3 linked regions of the Sus scrofa genome follow. The protein of the gene in region 2 interacts with the protein of the main gene of each other region in a biochemical or structural test. Links are inferred from orthologs where the notes say so. Each region holds a gene or a part of one and is shown on either strand. Other genes may lie near its edges.

Region 1 (10,309 bases), on a different chromosome or scaffold from region 2:
GTCGTATGTGTGACTTCATTCATGTGAAATGTGAAGAGTAGGCAAATCCCGAGAGACAGAGAGTAGACTGATGGTTGCCAGGGCTGGGGGGAAACAGGTGAAAGGTAGCCATTGCTAATGGGTACTGGGTTTCTTTTGAGGGTGAGGGAACGGTTCTGGTGGACGGTGGTGGTGGTTCTACAACCTTGTTAAACAAAAACGCTGCACTATACACTTCAAAATGGTAAATTCTGTATTAGTGAAATAGATCTCAAAAAGTGATTAATAGGAAGAAAAACATTTAAGTGAAAATTTAAACTCAGCTGGAAAGAGGGTTAAGAACAAGCTAAATGAGTGAGAAGCACGACATGTGTAGGTGTGTAGGTATACGTTACAATGAGTTTAAAAACTAAGCTTTTAAAAATCATGTGTTGAACCCTAGAATAAGAGCATATTCACATTCATAAGGTGGATAATTATTTCAAACCAAAGACCCCAAGGCCTCTCCCGACACCATCCCACAACAGAGGCGGATGGAGGAGTACCATTTTGATCTGGGTGCTGTCGGTCAGCTGCTGCACAGCGTAAGCGTCTTCTGTGTTGTACTGGAGCAGGATGGCCATCTGGAACGTAGATGCCTTCGAGGTCCCCATGTAAAGGAAAAAGGCAAAATCTAAATGCATGGAAAACTCCCACAGAGCCTAAGTCTGAAGAGCCTACTTATGAAACCAATTCTTCCAAGAGATACAAAAAATAAAAGAATTATATTTAAAAGGGATACAAAGTGTCAAAACTCCACCTTAACACATTTCCCCAAAGATGTCATTTCCCACCTTGTCAAACATTAAAGTGATCTTGAACTTTCCTCCAAGATGTTTTGTCTCTATGACCCTTGAACAACGTTGAGACTGGGGGGGTGGGTTAGGGGTGCCAACCCTCTGAGCTGTTGAACATCCAACATCTTATAGTCAGCCCTCTGTGTATGCGGTTCCTCCACGGCTGAGGCTTCATATCCCCAGGTTCACCCACCTGTGGATCCAGGCCATGTACTATTTACTACTGAAGAAAGTCCACATGCAGGTAGACCTGTGCGTTTCAAGCTCACATTGTTCAAGGGTCAACTGTACACCCTATGTGTACACACACTCATGTATATAGATAAACATAAATACTCGTCCAGTACACAGAGTAACACTGAACGTCTATCTTTAAATTTGTTTTTGCACAAATACTAAGGAAAACTGTTTCTGGTGCATTATGGTCAGAGCAACCTGCTACATTATACCTGTTTTTTTTTTAAAAAATACACAAAGTAATGGAGTTCCCGGCGTGACTCAGTGGTTAACAAACCTGAATAGAAACCATGAGGTTGTGGGTTCGATCCCTGGCCTTGCTCAGTGGGTTAAGGATCTGGCTTTGAGCTGTAGTGTAGGTCGCAGACGCAGCTTGGATCCTGTGTTGCTGTGGCATACGCCGGTGGCTACAGCTCCAATTAGACCTCTAGCCTGGGAACCTCCATATGCCGCAGGTGTGGCCCTAGAAAAGACAAAAAGACAGAAAAAAAAAAAAATCCGAAGTACTTTACTATGTAAAATTTGAAATGCTTTAAAGCAAATCATGACTGCTCTAGGTACTTTCAGCAAACCATGTGCCAGGCAACACATACTAGTTTTAATTCCTTAAGCTGTGTGGAGAACGGACACCTACTGAGGGTCCTCCTCTCCTGGGGGAGCCCCGGGCATCGTCCCACATTCCCCTGGGAAGCCCCTCTCCCTTGCTCTCTCCAGCACCCTGCAGCAAAACTTAGGCCAACAAGAGGAGAAAGAAGCAGTGACCCTATCGGCCTGGATCAGTGTCTCTGAGAAACTCCAAGATGCCCCCTGGAAAGATGACAGAGGTGGGGGGTGAGGTGGGGGGTTCTGAGAGCTCTTTCCCGGGATGAGCAGGGGCCGCCATCTCTCTAATGGTGGTGACCAAAATGAAAGCAAATCTCAAAGAAATGTCCCATAGCCTGGTGGTGGCTCTGAAGGTATATACACTTGCCATAACTCAGACTGTATACTTAGGATGGGTGACTTTCATATGTAAACTATCTCAAGAAAGTTGATATAAATATTACTTATAGGATCACAGAAAAATCACAAAAAAAGTACCCTGTTTGTTTGTACCTTAAATAAAAACATAAGGGCAGGCAAAAAGCACATTCCTGGCATATTACGCTGTGCCCACCCTTGGCTGCCTTGACAAAGCAAACACACCTCTGGCTAAATGTCTGCCGCTGATCAAAAAAAAGGGCACTGAAATCTTAGGTACTAAAGTATGAACTCATGGGTTCTTCTATGTATACCTAGGGAATGAAGAAAAAAAATTTCAGTCATATAGTCAACGCTCAACATGGGTTTGAACTGTGCAGGTCCACTTATATGTGGATTCTTTCCAGTACTAAATACAATGGTTCTATAGACCCGAGGCTGGTTGAATCCAAAGATGTGGGGGAACTGTGGCTAAGGGGCACTGACTATAAGTTACATGCAGATTTTCAACTGCACAGAGGGTCGGTGCCCCTAACCTCCAGGTTGCTCAAGGGTCAAGCACATAATACTCCACAGTCAAGGTGATAAAGATCACTGGACCTGGCATAACAGAACATCAGACATTTAACTATTTTATAAGAACAGCATTACTGAAAGTTTAAATTAACGAGCAGCTTGAGCCTTCAGAACGCAGTCACGAGTTTCTTAATACTTAAAAAGCAGTGAGTGAAAGAATCCTGCATTGCTACAGCTGTGGCTCGGGTTCCATCCCTGGCCTGGGAATTTCCATATGCCACCGGTTCAAAGGATTTATAATTGTTTTTATAAGCACACTGGAGAGCCCTTCTTCAAAATGGACTCTTGAAGGGAAAAGACCTTAATGGAAGTTTCGGCTCTGACCTCTATCAGCTAGGATCCAAGGAAATAACTTAAATGAGCTGATGCTCAGTTTCTCATCTATGAAACAGAAACCTGGGTTACAGTTATTCTTAGCTAGTACTCAGCACCGCTACAAACTCCGAGGGTTGCTGTCAATGTGAAACTGCCCTGCTAAGGAAGGAAAAGAGCTATCATCTACTTAAACAATGAAACCCTGGCTTTTTAAGCTACTACCTGAACACCTAACCTGTGTCAGGCAGGAGCTGTGCCACTTTTTAAAAACATAACTTCATTTAATTTTCACACCATACGCAAAGCAGAGGCACTGATACCCCCCTTTCATGGAGGAGAAAAAAGGCTAAGTGCCATCAAATACCTTGTCCCTTAGCCACAAATAATTAGAACTTAGCTCATTATTATAGCTCACTGCATTATTTTGCCAGAATCTTAACTCTAGGTTCTTGTTGTGTGAACCACTGGATTCTGATTTCTATGGTTTCTCTTATCTTCATTTACACTTAAGAAATAAAAACCAAAAGGAGAAGGTGATCTTACCTGCAAAGTGTATCTGTTTTTGAAGCAGTTTGTTACTAACTCTCCTTTAGACAGCTGATACAACCATGTCAATTTTCTCCCACTGTGACGGCTAGCATAAAAAGCTGTGAATCGCTGATAACTCCGTTCCAACTGGACAAAAAGGAGGGGGGGCATTATGTGGAATATGTATCTCACCATATTTGGCAGCCAACATTCCTCAATAAAAAACAGTGGGCTGGATGGAATTCCCACTGTTGCTCAGTGGGTTAAGAACCCGACTAGTATCCGTGAGGATGAGGGTTTGATCCCTGGCCTCACTCAGTGGATGAAGGATCTGGCATTGCCACAAGCTGCGACGTAGGTGTAGGTGTAGGTCGGCAGCTGCAGCTCCAATTCAACCCCTAGCCTGGAAACTTCCCAATGCTAGGGTGTGGTCCTAAAAAGACCAAAAAAACAAACAAAACCACTGGCCCGGAGTTCCCGTCGTGGCGCAGTGGTTAACGAATCCGACTAGGAACCATGAGGTTGCGGGTTCGGTCCCTGCCCTTGCTCAGTAGGTTAACGATCCGGCGTTGTCGTGAGCTGTGGTGTAGGTTGCAGACGCGGCTCGGATCCCGCGTTGCTGTGGCTCTGGCGTAGGCCGGTGGCTACAGCCCCGATTCAACCCCTAGCCTGGGAACCTCCATATGCCGCGGGAGCGGCCCAAGAAATAGCAACAACAACAACAAAAAAGACAAAAGACAAAAGACAAAAAAACAAACAAACAAACAAAAAAAAAACAAAAAACCACTGGCCCAAGTTTATAGCTCAAAACGCTTAGGTAAAATACAAATACCAAGTCTCTACTCTCATGCAAAAAAAAAAAAAAAAAAAGGGCATGTAAATTTAATCATTTGAGGATACCATAAAAAAAGTTTCTACTTCAAGACACATAGGTATGGTCATGATGTTCATCACAGAACTATTAGGTTCTACTTCTGAGGGTAAATAAGCATGTGAATGAACACATATGGAGCTGAGACAAAGGTGGCCAACCCCTGACCCCTACCCAGCCCCAAGCTCATGACTGCCCGGCGCTGCCCCGTTTGAGGCCACATGGCTAGGCAGCAGGAAGGCCTTCTTAGGCACCATCTGCATTAATGCTGGAGGCTGCCCCCTTCAACTCTGCTCCACATGAAGGGAACAGAAGGTAAACCCATCCTTACCTCTGACGGCAAGGCAAACGTACAGGATTGCTGAAAGGGCCACGATCCGGAGCTGAGAACTTGAATACTGAAATCCACTGGGGCCGTGGGGAAAAATAATTAATTAGCCTTATAAACTGAAAAAAGCCACCCTTTCAGATAAACATGGGTTGCTTTTTATTATCAGGAAACACATTAAATGAAAAATCCGGATTCAATATAAAACTAAGGACTGAGCACATTAAAATTAAATTGTTTTATTCAATTAAAATCAGTAAAGGGAAGAGCCAGAAATTCTCTCCTCCAAAGGGTGAGTTTTTCATTTCTCTTCTAACTCAGAATTACAACATCATAAGCCTGCTTGGCTTCATCTGCTTTAGTTTACAGTCCACTCAAGGCACACCGGAGTTCACCAGGCCTGACTGGCATTAGAGCCCCCAACTTAAAAAGGAAAACAAAAACCCCCAAAGTAAACCAACTTCATTATGTTTTCTGTAGCAGAGTACTGTGAACTGACACACAGACCTTATGTATCTTCAATAATCTATAAATTGTAACAGTAATGCCATCATCACAGATGGCTGACAAGTCCACGGTACAATTGTCAGTAACAGGTTAATAGTTCTTTCAATTTGGGAAGAGTACAATCTCCATTCTTCATTTAAAAAGATGATGTCATCATGCCCTGCCACCCTCCTCCTGCAGTAGGAGCCCAGCTGGCCTCCTAGCCTGCCTGGCCAGCAGCGTCAATCTGAAGCCATGAGGGCTCTTGTCTGGCTGTTATCTCTATGGCCCTGTCAGTTTCTTATAATTAAAAACACTGCTATGGAGTTCCCGTCATGGCTCAGCGGAAACGAATCTGACTAGCATCCATGAGGCTGCAGGTTTGATCCCTCGCCTCGCTCAGTGGGTTAAGGATCCAGCGTTGTCGTGACCTGTGGTGTAGGTCGAAGATGCAGCTCCAATCCAGAATTTCTGTGGCTGTGGTGTAAGCCAGCAGCTACAGCTCTGATTTGACGTCTAGCCTGGGAACCTCCATATGCCACAGGTGCGGCCCTAAAAAAAAAGGCAAAAAAAACCAAACCAAAACAAAACCCACAAAACACCCCCCCCCAAAAAAACACTGCTAGAATGGAATCAAACTAAGGTTAAAAACTTTTAACTGAAACTTAAAACTGCTTGGAGCTGGCAAGTGCCTGGGGTTGGGCAGCCATGTCAGCAAGTAGAAGAGGTCAGGGCTCAGCTCCTCCAACTCCCAGCTGGCCATGCTCAGCACAAGGTTCTCCAGAAAAGGCCACACATTTCTACGGCTGTCATCTCATCTCCTATCATCACACAGGAGTCATGAGGTGGCCAGTGCATTTGGGAAGAACTTCCTGCTTGTCTGTCCTTCAATTTCTGATAAAGTACCCACCATTCCTACTTAGTATTTTGTCATCTCTCTACCTTGTTCCAAAAAAGCACCGGCTCCTCTAAGAATACCTCCTACAAAGGAAGCTTGTAAACACGTGGATAATACTCACAGTCCAGTGGTTCTGAATTCGTCAGGTGCTTTTTGAACTGCTCGTTCAAATCTTTGCTTACACCAATATCTTGAAACATCCGCTGAAGTTTAGAGGTATACTCAAAACCACAAGCTTGCTGCAATGAACCCAGATAACGATCTTATTAATTGCTATAGAAATATCAATGTACACAAGGGAATCTGATAGAAATCACAGTACATGACAGGTACTTTGTAACATTTAACTGTATTCAAGGTATACAAAATGCAGATTAAAAAATACACTATCTACAGCATATATTGGCATAACATTGTTTTTTTCTTTTTCTTTTGTCTTTTTAGGGCCGCATATGAAGGTTCCCAGGCTAGGAGTCGAATTGGAGCTGCAACTGCTGGCCTACACCAACCACAGCCACAGCAAGGCAAGATCTGAGCAGTATCTGCGGTCTGCACCACAGCTCACGGCAAGGCCAGATCCTTGGCAAGGCCGGATCCTTAACGCACTGAGCAAGCCCAGGGATTGAACCTGCGTCCTCATGAATCCTGGTTGGATTTGTTAACCACTGAGCCATGACTCGAACTCCCTAGCATAACACTGTAAATCAACTATACTTTCTTTTTCTTTTTTTTTTTTCAGGCTGCACCTGCAGCATATGAATGTTACCATGCTAGGGGCCCAATCGGAGCTATAGCTGCTGGCATATGCCACAGTCACAGCAACACAGGATCCGAGCCATGTCTGTGGCTACACCACAGCTCACAGCAACTCGGAATGCTTAACCCTCTGATAGAGGCCAGGGACTAAACCATGTCCTTGTGGATACTAGCCGGGCTCGTTAGCTCTGAGCCACAACAGGAACTCTGAACTATACTTAAATAAAAAATAATAAAACAAATTTTATTAATTTATTTTTGTCTTTTGTCTTTTTAGGGTCGCACCTGCGGCATATGGAGGTTCCCAGGCTAGGCATCCAATCGGAGCTGTTGATGTTGGCCTATGCCATAGCCATAGCAACACTAGATCTGAGCCACGTCTGTGACCTACACCACAGTTCACAGCAATGCTGGATCCTTAACCCACTGATCGAGGTCAGGGACTGAACCCGCAACCTCATGGTACCTAGTCAGATTTGTTTCCACTGCGCCATGACGGGAACTCTAACTTTAATTTGTTTTAAATAAGATATAAATAAAATTAATACACTATCAAAAATTATACAGCTATAAATGGAAGAGTTAGGTCTGTATACACACAATAACTATCACTAAGGGCAAGGATTTCTGACACCTTGGAAGAATATAAAGATGACATAATTTGTCTCTCACCCACTACCACTGGTGGAGCTGTGCCCCCTAGTCCCCATGTTGAAGCCCTAACCCCAAATGTGATGGTATTTGGAGGTGGGGCCACAGGGAGACAATTAAGTTCAGAAAAGGTCATGAGGCTGGGCCTCCAGGATTGGACTGGGAAGAGTGTCCTCACCAGACACTGAACTGCCTGGTACCTGGATCCTGGACTTCCCAGCAGCCTCCAGGACTCTATTCAATTCTCTTGTTAAGGAGTTCCCGTCGTGGCGCAGCGGTTAACGAATCCCACTAGGAACCATGAGGTTGCGGGTTCAGTCCCTGCCCCTGCTCAGTGGGTTGACGATCCGGCGTTGCCGTGAGCTGTGGTGTAGGTTGCAGACGCGGCTCGGATCCCGCGTTGCTGTGGCTCTGGCGTAGGCTGGTGGCTACAGCTCCGATTCAACCCCTAGCCTGGGAAACTCCATATGCCGAGGGAGCGGCCCAAGAAATAGCAAAAAGACAAAAACAAAATCAATTCTCTTGTTAAGCCACTCAAGCCTATGGTATTTTGGTATGGCAGCCCAAGCTGGTAAAGACAACCACGTAACTATAATTTCAGGTCACCAGCTATGATTGAAAAAATAAAAATCATCAAAAAAAAAAAAAATTCAGGTCAAAGTGAAATATGGTCCAGGTCACATAATAGCACCTGGCAGGCCAGGAAGCACTGACACAAATGCGGCCGAATGAAGAAATATGCAACAGCAAACTAACACTTAAAGTGTTCTGTCCTCCCGCAGACCCACCCAAGGCCAACAAAAAGCTGAGTCTGGGCTTCACCACTTGCAGCAATTCTTGGGGAGTGGAGACAGAGCTGAGGTCACGGGTGCAGGAGCTCGGAGAAGACACTTGGACGATGTGCCAGGCTCAGCTGGAGCAGGAGGGGCTCTATGCAGCAGGGGAAGGGTTGGCAGAGCATGTGAGGCCTGACCTGGGCTTGTCACAACACTGGCGGTGGGGTCCTTGTGGTGGAGGGCGGAGTTCTCACGGCACAGAATCCATGTCATCCATTGTCTACTCTGCCCAACTGACAACCCAGAACTTTAGTGACTTAAAACTGGCATTTTTCCGGAAAACATTACATTTACCTTTAACTTAGAGATCATGCTTGCTTCAGCATCATCGCTGGCGCTATTCTGATGGACAAGCCTCTTGGCCAGCATCTTTGCATAGAACTTCTGGAACACATCTTTGTCCTCTATGTACTTGAAGACCACCATCTAGAAAAGCCACACCAGAGCACACTTAACACACTTACAAAGACACTGTCACCAAACCCAGGCCAGAAACAAACATGTGTGCTCCGTTTTGTCCAGCCCTGTATGCCACGCTTACAATACTGCCCCATTATCTTTAAGGCAGGTATTTTCATCAATCCCTAAAATTACGTGAAGTCTAGACTGAATACAAATAAGGAAAGTACAAATGCCAAAATTAAGGACTTAATATAGGGAGTAAAATCATAGATTCAAAATAAAACGAATGCTTCTACTACTTTCCATATTCCATATGCCTCATTTAAATAACTGAAAAGCCACTTGTCAGAGAAAAGGCTACTTGCACATTGACGTGACCCTGGAGCTTCTTACCACTTGATTGAGTGTGTCTTCTAGCTCTGCTTCTTCTGGGTTCTTGGAACTGAAAAATTTTAAAAGGTATAGTGTTTTAAAATAAATCAGGAAACATTTATCAAACAAGCACCACTCAACCAAACCACATTAGAGTGTGGTTCTGAACATTCAAGTGGTTAGTTCTCAGATTAGCACGGGGAAGAGGGAAGGTTTAGGCTGTCCTACACTTTATCTCTCTTTCATAATCTGTTCTTCCACAGAATAATGTAGAATATCCACAATGGATCTCAATAGATGATACTTATTAAAAGCTTCCCCAAACATTCTGAATCAAGTTTTCCTTTAAGATAATCCATTTAAACATGCCTTTTACTTTTCTAATTGCTTTCTATATAATACGCTTTAACTTAACTTTGAAAAAATAAAAGGCCTTTTAATGGCCTAGTAATTAAAGATAAAAGAGTTTGTAAACTACCTCTAAAGTGTTGCCTTACATGTCATTACGTCCACAAAATAGATGGTTGTCCTTTTACAACTGCTTGATTCACTCTAGTCTATGAATAAATATTAACTGAAAGGTGATTGCAGGGTAAAAATTTAAAGCTTTTACTCCAAGAGACCTTAATAAACAAGACCCCTATAAAATCCATATAAAATGATCCAACCAGCAAACAAGCTCTAAAGACGTGATCCTACTTAAGAATAGTTGGCTCAGGAATTCCGGTTGTGGTTCAATGGGTTAAGAACCAGACTAGTATCCGTGAGGATTGTGGGTTTAATCCTTGGCCTTGCTCAGTGGGTTAAGGATCTGGCAATGTTGCAAGCTACAGCATAGGTTGTAGAAGCAGCTTGGATCCTAAGTTTCTATAGCTGTGGTATAGGCTGGCAGCCACAGCTTCAATTCAGCCCCTAGCCTAGGAACTTTCCATATGCTGTGGGTACAGCCCTGGGCGGAGGGGGGAAATACTTGGCTCAGGAAGCCCATTCTTCTCACTGATAGGTCAGGCCTGTGTCTCTTTCCTGGAAGAGTTTAACTTAAGTGTCCCTGGAGTCCAATCACTAACATACACTTGTTAAAACAGCACTCAGAACTATCCACCATTCTGCCTGCTTTAGCAGCCTTAACTAAAGAATAATATACACCAGGAGACTTGATGAGGACCATTTATGAAAAGACAAAAAGTCAAACAAACTGAAGCCCTACAAGAGTATCTACACATTTAAAATATTGAAAATTTTCATTTTACTGAGCCTAAAAAATAAAAGGTCACAAGA
Region 2 (10,409 bases):
TGGCCAATGAAATGCCGCTCTGGGGCCTTTTCTAGGGCAGCTGAGTTGGGAGAAGCTAGGCCTGGATGGTGGAGCTGTCTTTTGTTTTTTGTTTTTTTATTGCTTTTTAGGGCTGTACCTGTGGCATATGGAGGTTCCCAGGCTAGGGGTCAAATTGGCCTACACCACAGCCAGAGCAACGCAGAATCCGAGCTGCGTCTGCGACCTGCACCACAGCTCACGGCAACCCTGGATCCTTAACCCACTGAGTGAGGCCAGGGCTCGAACCCAAAACCTCATGATTCCTAGTTGGATTTGTTTCCGCTGCGCCACGACGGGAACTCCTGGAGCTATCTTTTTACCATAAGGCCTGTGAACAAAGTGAGCACTCAGGAGAGCTGAGCCAAGAGAATCCCCAGTTTCTTTTCTTGCCTCTGTCCCCTCACTCTGATTGAGGCACATTGGTCTCTAGCTAGTCTGTCTTGTCCCTACCTCAGGTCTTTGCATGAGCTGTTCCCCTCCCTGTACACTGTTCCTCCAGACCCATGTGTCTCACTTCCTCATTTCATTCTGTTCTCTGCTCAAATGCCACCTCCTAAGAGACCCCCCTTTCTAAAATAACCCTCCTGCCCTACCCCCTGTTACTAATGCCTCACCATGCTTTATTTTTTTTCATAGCAATTTTTGCTACCAGAATTTACCAGCTTTGGAGTTCCTATCATGGCTCAGTGGTTAACGAATCTGACTAGGAATGATGAGGTTGCGGGTTCAATCCCTGGCCTCACTCAGTGGGTTAAGGATCTGGCGTTGCCGTGAGCTGTGGTGTATGATCGCAGACGTGGCTCATTGCTGTGGCTCTGCCTTAGGCTGGCAGCTATAGCTCGGATTTGACCCCTAACCTGGGAACCTCCATACGCCATGGGTGCAGCCCTAGAAAAGACCAAAAAAAAAAAAAAAATTATCAGCTTTTTTGTCCTTTCTCCACGTCCCCCCAGGGGCAGGATTTTTGCATATTTTATTCATTGCTGTACCCCCAGCACCTAGAATTGTCCGTGGAAGGCCATGAATTAATTAATCAATTTTCCAGAGGAAGAATCTGACACTCATAGGGTCCAGTGTATTTAGTCCCTGTGGCTATTGTAACAAGTCACCACAAAGTGAGCAACTTAGATACAAGTCCATTATCTTACAATTCTGGAGGTTAAAAGTCTTAAGATCCAGGTGTGGGCAGGGCTGGTTCCCTCTGGAGGCTCCATGCCAGAATCTATTCTCTTGCCTTTTCCAGCTTCCAGAGGCACTGCCTCCTTGGCTCATGGCCCCTTCACAGGGGCTACCTGGAGAACCAGGTCATCCCACTTCAAGGGGTGGAATCTTAGCTGCAGATTTCCTTCTCTCAGGTGAGGCATTGTGTACCCAGGCTCTGGGGTCAGGATGTGGACCTCTGTGGCATTATTGTCTACTACTGTAGCTGAGTGGACCCAGCTTTCAGAGCAGACTGCAGAAAGAGACAGAGCTGAACTTGAAGCCCACCCTGTAACCTTTGTCTTCCTTCTCCATGTCCCTCTCCCTGTGAGGGGTCACATTCTCTCCCTTCCCCCCTTTTTTAAGTATAGTTGATTTACAATGTTGTGTCAATTTCTGCTGTACAGCAGTGACCCAGTCTCTCTCTGTCTCTCTCTGTCTCTGTCTCTGTCTCTCTCTCTCACACACACACACACACACACACACACACACACACCATTTTTTACATTATCTTCCTTCATGGTCTGTCCTAGGAAGCTGTAGGAAGCTGGATATAGTTCCCTGTGCTGTATGAAAAGACCTCATTTCATTGCTTATCCATTCTAAGTGTAATAGTTTGCATCTACTAAGCTCAAACTCCCAGTCAATCCCACTCCCTCCCCACTCCCCCTTGGCAACTGCAAGTCTACCCTCCATGTCTGTGAGTCTGTTTCTTTTTTTTTTTTTTTTGTCTTTTCTAGGGCCGCTCCCAAGACATATGGAGGTTCCCAGGCTAGGGGTCTCATCAGAGCTGTAGCCACCAGCCTACGCCAGAGCCACAGCAACGTGGGAGCTGAGCCGCGTCTGCAACCTACACCACAGCTCACGGCAACGCCGGATCCTTAACCCACTGAGCAAGGCCAGGGATCAAACCCGCAACCTCATGGTTCCTAGTCGGATTCATTAACCACTGAGCCATGACGGGAACTCCTGTGAGTCTGTTTCTATTCTGTAGATAGGTTCATTTGTGGCTGTTTTAGATTCCACATATGAGAGCTATCATGTGGTATTTGTCTTTCTCTTTCCTTTTTTTTTTTTTTTTTTTTGTCTTTTTGCTGTTTCTTGGGCCGCTCCCTCGGCATATGCAGGTTCCCAGGCCAGAGAGAGCCTATGCCAGAGCCACAGCAACGCAGGACATCTTCTTAATCCATTCGCCTGTCAGTGGACATTTAGGTTGTTTCCATGTCTTGACTATTGTGAATAGTGCTGCTATGAACTTAGGGGCCCATGCACCCCCCTGCTTCAGCCCTGCAGCACCACTGCCTCCTGAGATGATGACTTTTCCCAACAGGCACAACTGCAGCAAAATGCTATTGCGCAAATCTCCGTAACATATTCCAGCTCCATGCCAAGGGCTTACAAGCATTATATTTCATGTAACTCATTTTAAGATAAACAAGTTGAGCATTGGAGGACCATTTGTTTTGTTTGCTTTTCAGGGCCACACCCGCAGTATATGGAAATTCCAGGCTAGGGATTGAATACAACTGCTGGCCTACACCACCACCACAGTGATTCAGGATCTGAGTCATGTCTGCAACCTACACCACAGCTCACAGAAACACCGGATCCTTAGCCCACTGACTGAGGCCAGGGATTGAACCCGCCTCTTCATGGATCCTAGTCAGTTTCCTTACTGATGAGCCATAACAGGAACTCCCTGGAGGACCATTTCTAAAGTCAAGGCAGAACCTAGATTTGAATTCAGGGCTCTGTTTTTTTTTGTTGTTGTTGTTTTTTTTTTTTTGTCTTTTTGCTATTTCTTTGGGCTGCTCCCGAGGCATATGGAGGTTCCCAGGCTAGGGGTCGAATCGGAGCTGTAGCCACCGGCCTACGCCAGAGCCACAGCAACGCAGGATCCGAGCCGTGTCTGCAACCTACACCGCAGCTCACAGCAACGCCAGATCCTTCACCCACTGAGCAAGGGCAGGGATCGAACCCGCAACCTCATGGTTCCTAGTTGGATTCGTTAACCACTGTGCCATGACGGGAACTCCAAGGGCTCTGTTTTTTGTTTTTGTTTCTTTGTTTTGGCTGCACCTGCAGCACGTGGAAGTTCCTGGGTCAGGGATGGAAACCACACCACAAAGTAACGAGAGTCATGCTGGAACCTTAACCCACTGAGCCAGCAGGGAACTCCCAGGGCTCTTCTATAGCCCGTGGATGGAACGCTCAACTCAAATTGGCTTAATAAAAGAGTTCCCATCGTGGCTCAGCGGAAACAAATCTGACTAGCATCCACGAGGACACAGGTTCAATTCCTGGCCTCGCTCAATGGGTTAAGGATCTGGCATTGCTATGAGCTGTGATGCAGGTTGCAGACTTGACTCAGATCCCACGTTGCTGGCTTAGTAAGAAGCGGAAGGAAAAAAAAAGAAATTTATTGACTTGCACCATTGCAAGGGGAGGTCAGGCATGGCTGGATCCAGGAGCACAGTCACTGGCACTTTCTCATCAGTTGGCTTAGCTTTCCTGAGTGCCAGCTTTGTTCAAAGATTTCATGTTGATGAGATGGTCCTATGCACAAGGCCCAGGGCTCCCAGCTCAGCCATCTCAGCGTTGTGTCCCAGAAAATATCCCAGGCTGCATCTCCTTAGACAGTCAAGTCACATGCTGAACTAACCACTTCAGCCAGGGCTTAGGGATCAGTCCAATTCGAACCTTGCAGAGTAAGAGTGGGGGCCCCCTCAGGAAATGGAGGTGCCATGGCCAGAAAATGGGCAGGCAGAAACCTGGGATGTCCACAACCTCAGGACGTTGCAGAGCCTGAGATGCAGGCTGTCTTGGGAGACAAAGCCTCAGTGGGACCGAATGCAGAGTATGTAAACCTGGTACCTCCCTTTACCTATTCCCCACCCACCCAATAATTCCTGCCATATACATGGGGATACATCTTGGGAAACTTCTCTGGAAGAATCATAATTAATTCTAATTACTATTTATCAGCAAGCTGCCACTGACCAACACTATGACATTGGTGTCACTGGCAGAGAACAAGGGACAGAGAATACTTGGAACTCTGGACAAAGTGTGTGTGGCCCATCCTATAGGGGAGGCCCCTCCAGGTCCCCTGGTGTGCAGGGCAAGCCCCTGTATTGATGAGAGCCACTGAAGCTACTGCTCTGCCCATGGCTCTTCCTCAGGCTCCTTTGCTCATTCCCAGAGATGACATTTTTTTTTTCTCCAGATTTACCTGCCTGTCCTCAGCTGGGGCCAGCCCAGGGCCAGGTGACAGGCAGGCGGGGGAGGGAATCAGCTCTGCCCAGCCTCAAGTGTTGGTGCAGCTGCTGGCTGCCCGGGTCACCTGCCAGCAAGGCCATCACAGGCCACGGGGGCCATGCCCACCCTCGTGGGGAGCTGTCACCTGCGGACCTGCAAGGCTAAAGACCAGGTCCGAGCGCGCGCACATACACACCTCTCCGACCCAGAGCTGTGTGGGTGTCTGGGCCAGAGTGCTGTCAGGTCAGCCAGGCGGGGTCGGAAGGTGGAGGGAAGCCCAGACCCCCCCACCCCCCGGCTAGCTGGAGTCAAAGGTCAGCCTGATATGGACACAGCTGGGGTCAAGTTTTTATCTGGGGTTTGGCCAGAACAGGTCCCGAGACTGTGGGGCAGAGCACACCCTAAGTGGGAAGACGGCCGGAAGTGGAGGGACCCTCTTGGCTGGCCCGAGGCAGCCTGGGCCCGGGTCATGAGTATGGAAACTGAGGCTCGAGCCGGCCCCGCCCCGGCCCCGCCCCGCGCCGGGACGTCACAAAAAGGCCCAAAAGGGCCGCGAGCCGGGCGGGGCAGCGCAGCGCAGCCCTGCCCGCGGCCCCGCGCACAGGCATCAGGGGAGCTCGTAGAGCCGGGGCGGCGGAGGCCTCCCAGGGCCTCGGAAGCGCCAAGGCGCCTGCGCGCGCGGCCCCCGGCTCCCGGCGGCGCGCTCGGCGGCCGGGGGAGGGATCGCTTCCCATCGTGCCCCGCGGGCGGGCGCGCAGGCGCGGTCGGGGCAGGCTGCGCGCAGGCGCGGGCGGCGGCGGGGGCGGGGCGCGGCGGCCGAGGCGAGGGCCGGGCGGCGGCGCAGAGCGAGTGGAGCCCCCGGGTGCCCCGGGCGGCGGCGGCGGCGGCGGCGGCGGCGGCGCAGAGGAGGAAGGCGGCCCCGGCCCCGGCCCGTCCCGCGGTCCCGCGGCCCCGCGGCCCCGCGCGCCCCCTGCCCCGGCCCCGGACCCGGGCCCGTCCGCCGCCGCCATGGCCCGGCCGCTGGTGCCCAGCTCGCAGAAGGCGCTGCTGCTGGAGCTCAAGGGGCTGCAGGAGGAGCCGGTGGAGGGCTTCCGGGTGACCCTGGTGGACGAGGGCGATCTGTACAACTGGGAGGTGGCCATCTTCGGGCCCCCCAACACCTACTACGAGGGCGGCTACTTCAAGGTGAGCAGCGAAGAGGGGGGCGGGCGAGCGACCCTGCTCCGGGTCCTCGGGGCCCCTCCTCCACCTCTGCTCCCTGCCCGCTCCCCTCGCGGGGCCCCCTCCCTCTGCTCCACTGCCTGGCCGCCTCCGGAGAGTTCGGGGCTCTCAGTCACCCCTTCTTCCCCGTCTGGCCTCAGGAGTCCCCGAGAAGCGCCCATCCCCTCTAAGCCCGCTTCAGGCCCCCGAGAGGAAACCTAGGACCCTCCGTGTTTCTCTGGGTGCAGGGTTCTTGCTTCCCCCAGCCCTTAGTGTTCCCCGCCTCCCGGCCCTGCTCGCTGCTCAGAGGAGACAAAAAAGCCTCCCCACAACCAGCCAATACTGTTGCGGGGAGCGCCGGCTTAGGAAGGGAGGGAGTGGGGGAGGGAGGCCCGCTGGCCTGGGGACTGGCTCGGCCTCCTGCTCGGGTTCCAACAGAGGCCAGGATGGGGCCTTGGCAGCAGGGACCTGCTTGGAAAGCGTCCACCCTTGCCGATAGCAGCCGGCCAGGCCCTCTTGACTTCATCCTGAGCTTTATGTAACCTGCTCTCTCTGACGGTCACTCCCACCCTCCTCCCTGTCCCTGGAAACCACGGAGCAGAACCCACCCCAGGTTCCACCTCAGAAGGTTGGGGTCCTGGCCTTTTTCAGGTTCCAATGAGTCGTTGGCTTCTTGGGCCCGAATCTCAAGCTCTCGTGGTTTCTGGGCCCTCGGTGGTGGCCCGAATCTCAAGCTCTCGTGGTTTCTGGGCCCTCGGTGGTGGCTTAAATCCAAGCAGTTCTCTCTTGTTGTCAGAGCTGGGAGGCAAGTGTTTTCCTGGGGACTTGTGTGTCATGGACTCCAGCCAAAACCTGGGGAGGATCTGAGTCTAGCCGTGGTCTTGAGGGACCCCTCCCAGATCAAAAGGACTTTGCTCCTTGAGCCAGAGGGACAAGGCAGGGGGTCTCCTTGGGTGAGAGATGGGGCCTGAACCATCAGCTGGGAACGAACACACACACACACACCCTGCCAAGAGCCCTGCAGGCCTGGCTGGGAGGCCTGGGTTGGGGGGTGGGGAGGCTGATGCCGCCTGGACAGATTCTGTGTTTGCACTTTTGGCTAGTTCAGCAACCTCAACAGAACAGCCTGAGCTACTGGCATTGCTGAGGTGGGATGGGGGGATGAGTGTGGACAGCTCTGGGCTGAGTTCTATGGTTGGAATCCATCTTCCCCATGCAGGGCACGGATTTAGGGTTGCTCACTAAGTGATCTAACCAGCCTCCCTCCCTGGTCTCTTTTGTGTGCTTCTGGGTACAACTGGCTGTGAGGATAAGGGCCGGTGCTCAGAGCTGGGAGAGCAGAGTCCTACTCTTCAGCCAGGCCAGGACTCTGGAAGGAAAGGAAAGGATGGGGAGGGGGGAATAGGGGGGTGGTTCTGGCTATTACTCTCTGTTTACAGGGGATTGTGGGTAGGGCCTTCTAGGCTGGCTTTGGGGGGAATAATCCTGTTTTTCTGAAGAAGGAAGGACTGGGTTCAGGGTGCTGCACATTTCTCATCTGCCTGCTATAGCATCTGTCCTCAGGCCAGCTTGGGACCCACGGTGGTCTCTGATCCTCGTGTCCCAAAAGATGCAGAAATAGCAGGGGCTGGAAGTGCCAGGGGGTCCACCATCGCTTCCCAGCCTCCTCCTCTGAGTTTTCCAGGCCTCACCCACTTCCCCATATGAGCCAGAGGGTCCTGGGCAGCAGGTGATGAAGGCATGCCCTGGAAACCCAAGTTTGGGAGCCCCTCCAGAGTTCTGTGCCCTCAGGCAAAGTGCTCTCCTTTTCTGAGCTGCAGTTTGCACAGCAATAAAGGCACCCTGGGACTTGGTGGGTGCTAGGTGCTTAGTCAGGGGAGGCCTGTCACCCTGCCTTGCTAAGGAAGCTTCAGTTGGTCTTGGGCTGTCACTTAGAAACCCAGCACTGGGCTTCGGAGACCCCAGGGCAGAGTCTGAGGCTTGAGTTCCAGGCTGGCAGAGGGACTTCCCTTGTGTCTCCAGCATAGGAGAGCAGTTCTCCACAGATGGGTTGAAGGACCTACAGCAGTGTATCCAGTGTGGCCCCTAGTATGCTGCCTGGCCTCTGAGAGCCTGAAGCACCACCAGATCCTGGGACTAGGGCTTAAATAGGCTGAAGCCAAGGCACAGCTTTCACCCATAGGGCCCTCCCCCATCTGCCCCGTGACCTTCCTGTCCGCCTTCCTGACCCCCCCGCCAGGACCGACACCTTTGGGTAGAGAGCCTCTCCGCCCAGCGCTGACTCATGTCCGCCCACGGCGGGCGCCTGCCCAGGGAGGTGTGGGGATGACTGCCCGGTGAACACGCGGCTATTTTAATCCCCCCACAAGCTGGAAGCTGAGGCCCAGGCCCCTGCTGGCATGTGCCCGCCCCTCCCCCAGGCCCACAGGACTGGAGCTACTCCCTGGCAGTGCCCATGCCCCCCAGCAGCAGGCAGGGACCGGGGACAGCTCTGGTGACCCCAAAAAAGCCCCAGGTTTGTGTGAGCTGTGGCCGGCCAGCGAGGTCCCTGGCCAGCCTGCTCTGGCCCTACTGAGCCCATGCTCTCTGCCTCCCACCAGGCGCGCCTCAAGTTCCCCATTGACTACCCTTACTCCCCACCAGCCTTTCGGTTCCTGACCAAGATGTGGCACCCCAACATCTATGAGGTGAGCTGGTCCCCTGTATTGGGGTGGGTGGGAGGGGGTGCTATGGGTGAGATCTGGAGCTGCAGGCACTGACCCCCTCCTGTACCATGCAGACTGGGGACGTGTGCATCTCCATTCTCCATCCTCCGGTTGACGACCCTCAGAGTGGGGAGCTGCCCTCGGAGCGGTGGAACCCCACCCAGAATGTCAGGTGAGGTCCTTGGGTGCTCAGAGGCTGGTGGTAGCAACGTGGGACCCCACCTTCTGCCTGACACCCCTGCCCCACCCACCTCAGGAATGGCTCTGGGAATTCCACGTCTTCATCTGCCTGCCCTGGGGTCTCCCCGTCTTCCTCCAGCCCATGATCACAGCCCCTCGTCCACAGACAGACTGCTCACCCCCAGAGGCCTGGGCACCCTGCCTCCTGCTGCATGTCTTTTCCGGCCCAGACCGCAGCAAAAGTGGGTGGCATAAGGGGACCCCCTCTCCAGGCAGGATGATGCCTTGGGGAGGGGGACAGGCCTACTTCAGTGCAAGGAAGGTGATTCTGGCATTGGCTTCCCTCAGATCTTGTCTGAGGAGCTTGGGAGGTGGGGGGTGGAGCATGGTTCAGGGTGTGAGGCTCCCAGGAGAACATGCCCCTGACAGGCTGGCTGGGCGGAGAACACCCCTCACACTGACTCCTGCTCCCCAGGACCATCCTCCTGAGCGTCATCTCCCTCCTCAACGAACCGAACACCTTTTCACCTGCCAACGTGGATGCCTCGGTGATGTACAGGAAGTGGAAAGAGAGCAAAGGCAGGGACCGGGAGTACACGGACATCATCCGGTGAGCCCTGCTCCCTCCACTCTCTGGAGAACCCTTGCTTCTCTTCCTCTTGCGCACCTTGAGGCGTTCCAGTTCTGGGAGTGTGTGGTCCACGTCGAGCATGGCTGTGCCATGTGCACCGCAGAGTGTGTGCATGTGTATACCTCACACGGGCACAGAGATAAATATCCTGTGACCACTGAATTTCAGCAGGGGGTCTTGCCATGTTCCTTTGCTTTGTGACAGAAAGGGCAGAGATCCTGCCAGTCTGCCTGTGTGTGTCTCCCTCCCCCCTCCACCTGCGTGTACCCCTCATGCTCGCCCCCAAGAGTAGGTCTGTGAGCCTGTGGCCTCTGCTGCTCTCCTCCAGGAGTGTGTTTTCCATGTGTGCTTTGTGTGATCTATTTTTTCACCTTATAGCTGTGAATGTCACTTCCACTTGCAAAAGGGAACAAAGCCATGTGATATCAGCATGTTTAGGAAATACTTTCTTTCATGAAAAACAGTTTTTTCTTGGTTATAGAAGCAGTGCGTTACTTAGGAACTTGCCAGGGTTAACTGTCCCTCATTTTCATTGTCTCCTGTCCCTGCTGTGACGAAGCAGGTAGCCATCCTCACAGAGGCATCTGTGCAAACATTCCCTGAACCATGGGTGCTTGGCTGGGTATGGGGCCCAGAGCACAAGAGGCCTGCCCCAGCGATGCCCCAAGGGACTTCCTATCTTCCCTGTTGTGTTGTGTCTTGTGAGCTGTGCTGACCATTTTCCTTTGTCGCTTGTCCTCCTGGAGCTTGTGACTTGGTTTTTGTGTTTTGGGGTTTTTTTGGGGGTTGGTTTTTTTTTTTTTTTTTGCTGTTTAGGGTCACACCTGTGGCACATGGAAATTCCCTGGTCGAATTGGAGATAGCTGCCAGCCTATGCCGCAGCTGCGGCAATGCCGGATCTGAGTCGAGTCTGCAGCCTACACTGCAGCTCACTGCAATGCGTGATCCTTTAACCCACTGAGTGAGGCCAGGGATCGAGCCTGTGTCCTCATGGATACTAGTCAGGCTCTCTCTCTCTCTTTTTTTTTTTTTTTTTAAGTCAGGCTCTTTACTGCTGAGCTGCAGCAGGAACTTCTGCTTGTGACTTGTTTTGTGACAAACTTAAACCCTTTGTTAAGCCTATTCCAATTAGGTTTTCAGTCTGTCCCTTAATCTGTAGAAAGCATTTACTTTGTAGAAGGTGAGTAAGTCAGACATGGGTCTACATGACGACC
Region 3 (10,409 bases), on a different chromosome or scaffold from region 2:
ACAAGCAACTAAAGGACTTAAAGATTAATTCCATTTGAGAACTGGCCCTTTGAGAACCAACACACTTTATATTAATAATGGATTACTGCTTTACAGTTTATTTTATGTATTGATAAAGTCAATCTTAATAGCAAATTCAAACATCCCCACTGAGAGAAAATCTTCAGTTGAAAAAGGAAGAGAACAAAATTACAACATACCAACACAATCCTCCTGTTTGTTTTCAGCTTGACATCTAAGACAGGCATCTAAAAGTAAACAAATAGCAATTCTCATTCTGATGCTCTGAATGCAATTTTTAAAACCCATACACTTCAAAGTCAAATAAAGGCCCAAAGGGTTATAGATGAAGATTAAAGGACTCATATTATTACTTTCTCATTCGAACATAACTGCTTAAAGATGAATAAAGTGCAAGGAACTCTACTAATTTACTTATGACCAGGAGCAATTTCACAAGGGTTATTGACCCTCTATTTTTACAAATTCTGATGAAAAGATGTCCTGACAGTGGATGAAACCACCAGAGAAAAATACACCATACTCCACTATATTAGGAGTTGTTACACGCTCACTGGGCATGCTCACACAGATCAATCTCATGGGTAGTATATTTTCCAGACATTCTTTTAAAGAAACCACACATATATACTGGTATTTGTTTACAAATACATAGAAAGTCTAGAAGGATACTCAAGAAACTAATAATAAAGTTTATCTGGGAAGGGATAAAATGGGAAGGACTTTTAATTGTATATTTTCTCAGATTTTTAAATTATGTGACTGTATAAGCTTATGTCTTTTTTTTTTGGCCGCACTGGCAACATATGGAAGTTCCCAAGGCAGGGATCAAATCCAAGCTGCAGCTGTGACCTACAGCTGTGGCAATGCCAGATCCTTAACCCACTGTGCCAGAGTGGGAACTCCTTTATATGCTATATGAAAATTAAATGTAAAAAAACTCCCAAATACCTAGTTCTCTTTTTTTAGTTTTTAAGGAAATGCTCCCTTTACAAATATGTCTGAGGCCAAAGCATTTACCTAATGGTAAAGTATTTTAATAAATTACTTGGGAGTAAATATGAGGAGTGGGAACAAAAGGGCATACTACAAGTTTTCAAAATTCAGTCAGTATTAATTGCTTGATGGAGGTAATAAAGAATATTGTAAGAACCAATTAAATGGATTCATTCACTAGCTGAAAGGAGTCAAACCTGGGTAAAAGGAAGTTTAAACCAACAGAAAAAATAAGTTTTAAACATAAATTGGAGAAAAATAATTCTGTAAAAATAGAAATAGTGGAGTTGAAGCCTGCTTCTCTTCTTACATTAGATTTTGCTCAGGCATTTGTTTGCACCACTCTGCATGGTCTTCCCTTAAAAAACCACACCACCCTGGCCTCTTCAGTGTGGATTACAAACAACCAACATCTCCTGACGACTTCTTCAATTCCACAATTACTGAGTATTTCCTCTGTGCAAAGAGTTATGCCCTCAGGACACCAAAATGATCGAGTCTGGATCCCTGCTCTCACCAGCAAATGGGGAGGTAGAGAGGCAAACAACTACATATAAGGATCATGATATCAGGGTGAAGACAAGGCCCTGATTCTGTGCAATCAGAGAATTACAGTTAATGACCCCAATTGCCTTTTTTACAAATTGGGAAAACAAGGCTCCAAAAGGTTATGTCAAATGTCCCAGTTAACATGCAGCTCTCGGTTTTTTTTTTTTTTTGGTCTTTTTTACCTTTTCTAGGGTTGCTCCCGTGTAATACGGAGGTTCCCAGGCTAGGGGTCTAATCGGAGCTGCAGCCACTGGCCTACACCAGAGCCACAGCAACTCGGGATCCGAGCCGCATCTGTGACCTACACCACAGCTCATAGCAACACTGGATCCTTAACCCATTGAGCAAGGCCAGGGATCGAACCTCATGGTTCCTAGTCAGATTCGTTAACCACTGAGCCACAACGGGAACTCCAGCTCTCGCTCTTTATACCTCTACAGTACTAGCAAACCTATTCCCCTTTTCCTTGTCAGTGCTTGCTCACTGTGTCATTTGCTCCTTTCAGAATGAAGGGGGTGGGGGTGGGGAAGAGTGGAAACAAGGAAGTGTTAACTACATCAGAATGGGTGGACAGGTAAATCTTAGATCAAGAAGTCATAAAAATTTTGAAATAACCTACAATGGAAAAGAATCTGAAAAAAAAAGTGTGTGTGTGTGTGTATTTGAATCACTTTGCTGTACACCTGAAACACTTTTAATCAACTACAATAAATTTTTTTAAAAAAGAAGTCATAACAAATCATTTAGATGTATGAGATGAATTCTGAATTCCAAATATTAAGGAAGTGGGATTAGATAGGCTCTTTGTAGAATCTAAAAATCTCTGAATTATGCTTATAGCTTTGATTTAATTATTTAAAAAAAAAACAACTGACCTAAATGTATAAAAATTCCTAAAGTTTCAGATAAAAGAAAACATTTTTCCTTTGGTGATATTCCTAATATCTAAAACAGCACATTTCTAAGGAGTACAATAACAGTAACACCTTTAAGAATGACGCTACCCTAAGGATTGGCAAGTCTATAAAACTTCCTTCTGCCGTCACCTGACCACTAAGTGGATTTTAACACCTTATAATCAAAATATAGAGGTCTAGTCCAGAATACTTTCCTGAATCCAAAGTACAGCTGTTGTAAATCTGCAACATTAATCCACAGTAGCGGAATACTTGCTATAATTAGAAAGTTAATGTGCCTGTTAAGTCATTTAGAGCCCATACTTTGACCAGGAAGGTTTATTTGCTGCCAAATTTCAACCATTATTTAAAACTCTGCATTTCTATTTACAAATTTAAAATTTTTCCCTGGGGAGAAGAAGAAAATAACCTTTCAGAAAAACCTCTTTTTTTAATCACTTAGGGGATAAAATTTTTAACAAAGTTTTTTCTCATAAAAGAACAAAAATTGTTTGGATAAGTCAAAAATGCCACTCAAAGCAGAAATTATGATTTCAGTTTTTAAGTAAGGAGTAGGGTAAGGGGGCTGTATTGCAGGCCAATAAACAAGGTATTTTTAAAACCTAATATGCAAAACACGTGGATCATGTCTGAAATAAAATTCTTTTAAAAGTAAAAAAATAAATATATGATATCTCATTGTTGTAAATCTGCTTTTAAAATGAGTCCTTATTTTATGAATAAAAAACAAGAAAACATACTACAGAGAGGGTAAATGAAGAAACCTCTTGATTCTGGCAGTTCTGAATTTTCATTCCTCAAGAAGGGAGAGTGATTTTTTTTTTTTTTTTAGATTTTATTTTTTCTTTTATAGTTGATTTGGTTCCTAGTCGGATTCATTTCTGCTGCGCCACGAAGGGAACTCCTTATAGTTGATTTGAGAGCAATTTTTGAGTTATTTTCTCCAAAACTCTGATTTTTCGGTTTAAGATGTAAAAGCTTTCAAACTATAGAAACCTCGGTTTCATTTAAGATGCTCTCACAGTGATTTTAAATGCCCTATTAAAAAAAATAAGGATGCATTTAAACAGCATCTCTTTTTCAAGGTGTTCTGAGATCTTAGAACAGAAACCATATAAAATATAACAGGATGAAGCTGTCCCGAAAGGTTTCACTTGGTCCAATATTTTTAAAAAAATTTATAGAAAGAAGTGACTTATTTGTAAAAGAAAATTCTCCACAAAGGCCTATCAGGACACTGTCTTCTCCAGGAAATGGCATCCTTTGATAGCGTAGGGCCAGGAATGAGATTAAAATTTATGTTTCTGAATAAAGGGCTTAACATTCTTCTTCAAGACAAGCTACTGCCATCTGACCAGTCTTGAATCATCCAAGTTTTAAAGCCAGCAGAACAGTAGCTAATCCCGAAAGGCAACAGCTAGGGACACTTCTTTCCTGCGCCTCTCCGGAACAAGACTAAGAGTCATTACTGTGGAAGATGACTCCAGAGCATCACTCTGGTGTGTGAAAAGAAGCATTAAAACGACCCGCTGACTCAGGGCCTTGACCGTGACCTCTACAGTTTGCTTTTAGAAAAGGGTGGCGAGGTTGGGCCCACAAACCAAAGTGGTGCCTCGCAGCTCCCATCAACTCACCTACTTTTATTGTCTTGACCACACCCATCACTACCTGAAATTACCTTTTTAACTGCCCTGCTTTCCACCTGTTTCGTTCCCCAGACTACCAGTCCCCGTCGCCGGCCGCAGCCCTCCGACTAGCAGCAGCACGGGCGTGGCCCCAGTCTTTCGCTCCCAGGCAGGGCGACCCCGCCCCTATACCTCCAGGAACAGTCTCTCCGAGGCTCGGTGTGTCCCACGGGCCGGAGCTGGGCCCGCGGAGGCCGCAGCACAGCCAGGGTCTCGAGTGCAGCGCTTACCCATCACCTGGACCCTGCAGATGGCGCACGTATCGCACTCCACGTCCCAGCTCCACATGGCCACCGCGTTCCACTTCTTCAGAGAGAACATCTTGTCGCCTCCCGACTTGGTTCCTGAGCTACCGGAGTGAGAGGACAGGGCGCAGGGCTCCTCGCCGTCTTCCACGTCTGCCATGGCGGCGGCGCGAAGCCGGCGGCGGAGACGTTAGGTTGCGGAAGGCGGGCGACTATGGCGGCTCCCTGGGGCCCCTCGCCGGGCCACAGCGCCGCCCGCAGGCTGCGGGCCACCGTGGGGCCTACGACGGAGGCCGCCCGAGACTGGCTGGCGCGTCCCAGTGACGTCACCGCCCCCGCGCCCTGGGCCCGGCCCGCTCCGACTCTTTGGCCAAGAATGGGCGCCGCGCTCAGGAGGGTTGCCGGTGCAGGAAGCAGGTGTTCTGCTTTATGCCTTCGTGACCCTTCTGGCTCTCACAAGTTGTCATATTGATGTACTCCCTTCCTAAATGAAAACGCCATCGGAGCGAGGACGTGACTTGATCACCACCTTCTCCTGGGTATGTGAAAAATGCCTGGCCTCAGGAGGGGTAGTTATTTGTTGAGTGAATGAATGACTATCTTTTAGAAATCTGGTTCAGCCGTTCTCAAACTTTTTGGTCTTGGCACCCCTTTACACTTAAGAATCACTGGAACATTAAAGAACTTTCGGTTTGTAAAATATGTGTACACACAAACACACACTTTTTTTTTAAGAAATACGAAAAAAATTTTAATGTATTCACTTAAAAAATAACCATAGGAGTTCCTGTTGTGGTTAAGCGATGAGGAACCCGACTAGTATCTAGTATACATGAGAATGCAGGTTCAATCCCTGGCCTTGCTCAGTGGATCGGTGTTGTTGTGAGCTGTGGTGTAGGCTGGTAGCTGTATCCGATTCAGCCCCTAGCCTGGGAACTTCCATATGCCACAGGTGTGCCCCCACCCCCCGCCCCCGCAAGGAAAAGCAATAAACCCATTACAAGTAATCATTAGAACAAGGATATCACATATCTTGTAGCTTTTATAAAACTCCACTGTATACTCACAGGAGAAAGTGAAGAGAAATAGCGGTGAATATTGTTATGCAAATACTTTTGACCTTGTTTCCCCTGAAAGGATCCCAGGAACCCCCGGGGACCACACTCTGAGAACCTCTATCTAGTCCAACATCCTCCTTTTATTGATAGGAATGTTGAGGTCCAGAAAAATAAGATAAAGACACACCATTATTCCCTAAAGGTAACTGTTTTGAATCCAGGGTTCTTCTGCATCTAGCCCGGGGTCATATTATTATGTTTTCCCAAGCAAAGCAGATAACATCTCTATTTAAATAAGAAAGCTGTGGTATGGAGAGCCCACGAAGATGCCTGATCACCACTACCACCTAGTGGTGGACACCTGCTGTGTCGGGTTTGGAATTCAGAGCCTCCCACCTTTTCCTACTGGGCCTCATCCCCTCCTCTCCTGATGTCTGGATGGGGGCTAGAAGCTCCAGAAATCTGGCGGAGGAGGCAAGGAAGCATATATGTGTGAAAATATAAATGTGGATACATTTGGGTCACATTTGGCTAGATGCTGATGGAAGAGGTGACGTTTGAACTGGGGGAAGATGGGAGGCATCGGAGGCCCGGAAGTGGGTGGAGAAAGCAAACCTCTGCAAGGCTGTCAGGTTGAACAGAGCAGTAGTAGTGGTGGCAGATGTAAAGTTGACCCCACTAAGTTTATGAGCCAGACAAAAATGCCTGTAAACAAACCCAGATGAACCATAAAGGACACACATTTTACTCACATTAAGCTACCACACATCTGACTAGAGATGCTATAAATGCCAGATAGTTAATTTAAAAAAGAAGGCTAGAACCAGATGAGGATAAAATGCCCCCAGTTGGGGGGAACTGGGCAGTTTGAAAGAGAAAAGGAGGGAACTCAGATGAAAGGCTAGAGGATGATTAAGAATGAGAAATGGTAGGAGTTCCCTCTCATGGCTCAGTGGGTTAAGGACCTGGCATTGTCACTGCTCTGGCTCAGGTTACAGCTGTAGTATGTTCAATCCCTGTCCCTTCTGCATGCCCTGGGTGTGGCCAAAAAAGAAGGGGACAAGGAATGGTACATGCTTATGCCTCATCTGAACCTCTTCACTCTGTTCCTGGCTTATTGTGTCCTGACTTCTTGTCTGGCCTCCCCATTCAATCTAAAGTGCCTGTTTAATCTGCTTAGATCCCCCTTTCCACCTGACACTAGCCTGCTCAAAATGTTCCATGGCTCTCCATTATCATCAGAACAAAATCTAAATGTCCCAGCTGGTCCTTTAAATCCTGCCACAGTATGGCCCCAACCTACCTTTCTAATGTTATCTCCAAGCACTCCTCTCTGAGACCCTCATCAGATTAGTTGATTCAGCCATCCAAAGACACCTTAGACTCTTCTCTTCCCCCGACTCCATTTAACATCTCTGGAAGTGGTCAGAACCTCCCTCTGTCTGCTCTAACTACATTGCGTTTGCTGTGAGGAAAACTAATTTTCGTGTCCTTACTGACCACTCTTTGCTACTATTTATGCATTCCTCCCAGAAAAATCATAGCGCTTATTGTGTTTCTTCCACTCTTTTGGCACTAGGTCACATAACAACCAAACAGTGCTGTTACTGATGATTATCAAACAATTTTGAGTTTTTACAAATTGATAGCTCATAAGTGATAAGACCTTTAAAATAGGAAAATGAGTATTCAGTGGGAAAAAAAGCAAGCACTGTCAATAGAGTCTCCAGAAATTGCTCTGTATGTACTAACAAACACAGAGCACATCAACTCACTTGAATTTTTAAAATTGTGGTAAAAATACACATAACATAAAATTTACCATCCTAACAATTTTAAAGTGTAGAATTCAGTAGTATCAAGCACATTCACATTGTTATCAACCAATTTCCAGAGCTTTTTCACCTTCCAAAACTGGAAGTATACCCATTAAACAACTCTCCATCTCCCTCTTCTCCCTCCAGCCACCATGCTCCTTTCTGTTTCTGAGTTTGACTACTCTAAATATCTCATATAATTGGAATTGTACAATATCTGTCTTTTTTGTGACTGGTTTACTTCACATAGCATAAAGTCCTCCAGGTTCTTTCATGCTGTATGTAGCATGTGTCAGAATTTCCTTACTTTTTAAGGCTAAGTGATATTCTTTTGTGTGTGTGTGTGTGTTCATTCATCGATAGATCCATAGGTTGCCTCCACCATTTGATTATTATAAATAACGCTTTTATGAACATGGGTGTACAATTATCTCTTCATGATCCTGCTTTCAATTCTTTCTGATATAAACCCAGAAGTGAAATTGCTGATTCATGTTGTATCAATTCATTTTTAATTTTTTTTTTTTTTTTGTCTTTTTGCCTTTTCTAGGGCCGCTCCAGCGGCATGTGGAGGTTCCCAGGCTAGGGGTCTAATAGGAGCTGCGGCCGCTGGCCTATGCCAGAGCCACAGCAATGTGGGATCCGAGCCGAGTCTGTGACCTACACCACAGCTCACGGCAACGCCAGATCCTTAACCCACTGGGCGAGGGCAGGGATAGAACCCTCAACCTCATGGTTCCTAGTCGGATTCATTAACCACTGCGCTACAATGGGAACTCCCTTAGTTCATTTTTAATATGAAAAATTCACATATACTCTTATCTGGGCTTTTCTTTATCTTTAATAGTATGACTAGGACATCTCTCCATATAAGCACTTCCATATCCACATTATTCTTCCTAATGGCTGTGTGGTAGTTTTCCACCATGTGTATTTCCTGTGGTTTATGTCCTGGAGAACCCTTTGAGACATGTAGCTGTTTCCACTGTGCAATGAACAATGCTGCAGTGAACATCTTTATACACATTTCTTTGCATATGTGTGAGGTATATCTGTAAAATAAATTTCTAGAAGTAGAATGTTTGAGTCAAGGCTATGTATTTTTCATTTTGATAGACATTGCCAAAAGACCCCTAAATAAGCACACGGATTTTACACTTCTACCCAGTGGATGTCAGTGGGAAATCTTTAAAAAAGTTTGTTTTGTTTTGGTTTTTGAGCAAGAACAATTTCTCAGGAGGGCTCACACATTGGATATATAAGTTCTGGAGACTTGTTAAATTGATGTCACTACTCTGTAGGCTTCCTTACCCTAAGGATTTATACTATTTCAACTCATGCTCTAATGTTTTTTACTTTTAATGTATGAGGATCTTATCTTCCTTGTTAGATGCTAATCTGCAAGAGTGGACACAATTTTCTGTACCCAACCTCACCTCCTCAGTTAGTTGGGTTCCACTAACTTCCTAGCACTTGTTACATTTTATATGTTGGATGAATGACAGGGTTTGTTTTTATAACTTCAAAATGAAGTCTTAAGTCCTCAGCCACCAGAACTGCTGCAGTGACAATGCCAGATCTTTAACCTGCTCTACCACAAGGGAACTCTGATAGGTACCATTCTTATCTGTATCTTACAGAGGAGAAGTTTAGGTACCTGGAGGTTAACTGACTTGCTCAAGGTCACCCGGAAAGCAGCAGGATTCCACAGAGAATTCTGGTTCATCTAATTGCCTAGCCCATGCTTTTTATCCCTGTACTGTATACAATTTACCTAATTCAATTTATCATCTATGCATTGATCAGGATACTGCTTCCATTTCCTTTGGAGCTATTGAAATCTTACAGAGTGTGGAGGGTAGAGTGATCAGAATTTTCCTCATTTGGGGAAGATCCCCATTGTTAGGGTTGTTGCCTTTTAGAAAGTGGTTATTTTCCCCCAAAATCCCTATTTTTCCCAACCATAGATATATTTATGAAAGACAAGTCTTTCTTTCTTAAAGATCATGACTTCCTTCAAACTATAAATTTCACACGCACAAGAGAACAAGCTTCAGAGAAGAATCCCACTTATTTTTACCAAGGCTTATTTATAAAGTCAACATTTTAGAAAATGACAAGCATGGTAGGACTAACACTACTTTGAACTTTCATTAAGGAGTCTTATCAAATCTTACAACTTGAAAGGGGCTTGGTTATAGTGAAAAATATTATTATAGAACAAACAATATCTTTCCAGGCATGTGTGGTAGGTCATGGAAATAGATAAAATCCATATGGCTATATGGCATCCATATTCAGTTTCTAGCCTGTGAAAAAATGAACAAGAGATAATAAATAGAAAAAAATGAAAAAGGAAGTTCAACTACATAGAGAGTAAGCACATGTAAATCATTACCCCTTAAGATGTAGAACAGCTTCATAAAGAGCTTAGGTAAATTCATTGTTTTAGATCCACAAATAGGCTAATTGGAGCCAGGATTTTGTGTGTATGTTGTGGTTTGAAGAGAAGAGGTAGAGTTTGCACTATTCTTTGAGAGAACTATGTTATTCTGTTACCGCTCGTCCCTTGGTCATCATCCATCAGTGTGGAATGATGCTTTAGGGGAGTGTTACCTAGAACCCAAATGTTCCTGATTTGATCAAGTGCAAAATGTGCTACTCAGGGCACCATCTATCCTAGCAGAGTGCCCAGACTCCATAGAGCACCCCCTGGTGGCTTCTACTTACCAGCACAGATATCTGAGAGCATACCTTTTTCCTCTTTTTATGGGTAGTACTTGATTTCTTGCTATTTTCCCAAATAGACATGAAGGTATCTGAAGAGATCTGGGGGGTTACTGTAACTTTTAAAACTGGAAGTTTACCTGAGAAAGGGAGGAACATAAAAGTAAGTGGGTAGGGTATCTCATAATTCCACTTGATGGACGAGGTCTTAGCCTTCTGAGTGGGGCATTCTCCCACATTCTTGTTAACCAGGAAACTTTCCTTTCACCTAGTGCCCTTTCCTTATATCTTCTTCTTTTTTTTGGTCTGTTATCTTTTTAGGGCCACACCCGCGGCATTTGGAGGTTCCCAGGCTAGGGGTCAAATCAGAGCTACCAGCCTACACCACAGCCAC

What was found.
Region 1: the proteins of CDC34 (region 2) and CUL1 form a complex in vitro, tested with the Homo sapiens proteins (3 studies listed by BioGRID). The link is inferred for Sus scrofa from reciprocal best matches to the Homo sapiens genes CDC34 and CUL1.
Region 3: the proteins of CDC34 (region 2) and RNF7 form a complex in vitro, tested with the Homo sapiens proteins (5 studies listed by BioGRID). The link is inferred for Sus scrofa from reciprocal best matches to the Homo sapiens genes CDC34 and RNF7.

What each region holds. Positions count from the first base shown.
Region 1 is NC_010451.4:109,460,798-109,471,106, forward strand, and holds part of CUL1 (cullin-1), read right to left. Parts: intron 9,102-10,309; coding exon 9,053-9,101; intron 8,684-9,052; coding exon 8,552-8,683; intron 6,254-8,551; coding exon 6,136-6,253; intron 4,711-6,135; coding exon 4,634-4,710; intron 3,579-4,633; coding exon 3,447-3,578; intron 618-3,446; coding exon 525-617; intron 1-524. UniProt on the Homo sapiens protein: Core component of multiple cullin-RING-based SCF (SKP1-CUL1-F-box protein) E3 ubiquitin-protein ligase complexes, which mediate the ubiquitination of proteins involved in cell cycle progression, signal transduction and transcription.
Region 2 is NC_010444.4:77,763,265-77,773,673, reverse strand, and holds the start of CDC34 (ubiquitin-conjugating enzyme E2 R1), read left to right. Parts: upstream 1-5,341; 5' UTR 5,342-5,487; coding exon 5,488-5,664; intron 5,665-8,279; coding exon 8,280-8,366; intron 8,367-8,458; coding exon 8,459-8,556; intron 8,557-9,039; coding exon 9,040-9,174; intron 9,175-10,409. UniProt on the Homo sapiens protein: E2 ubiquitin-conjugating enzyme that accepts ubiquitin from an E1 ubiquitin-activating protein, and catalyzes its covalent attachment to other proteins by an E3 ubiquitin-protein ligase complex. In vitro catalyzes 'Lys-48'-linked polyubiquitination.
Region 3 is NC_010455.5:82,542,784-82,553,192, reverse strand, and holds the start of RNF7 (RING-box protein 2), read right to left. Parts: upstream 4,719-10,409; 5' UTR 4,574-4,718; coding exon 4,399-4,573; intron 249-4,398; coding exon 201-248; intron 1-200. Other genes in the region: uncharacterized protein LOC100515582, read right to left, coding at 9,586-9,597, 10,043-10,155. UniProt on the Homo sapiens protein: Catalytic component of multiple cullin-5-RING E3 ubiquitin-protein ligase complexes (ECS complexes), which mediate the ubiquitination and subsequent proteasomal degradation of target proteins.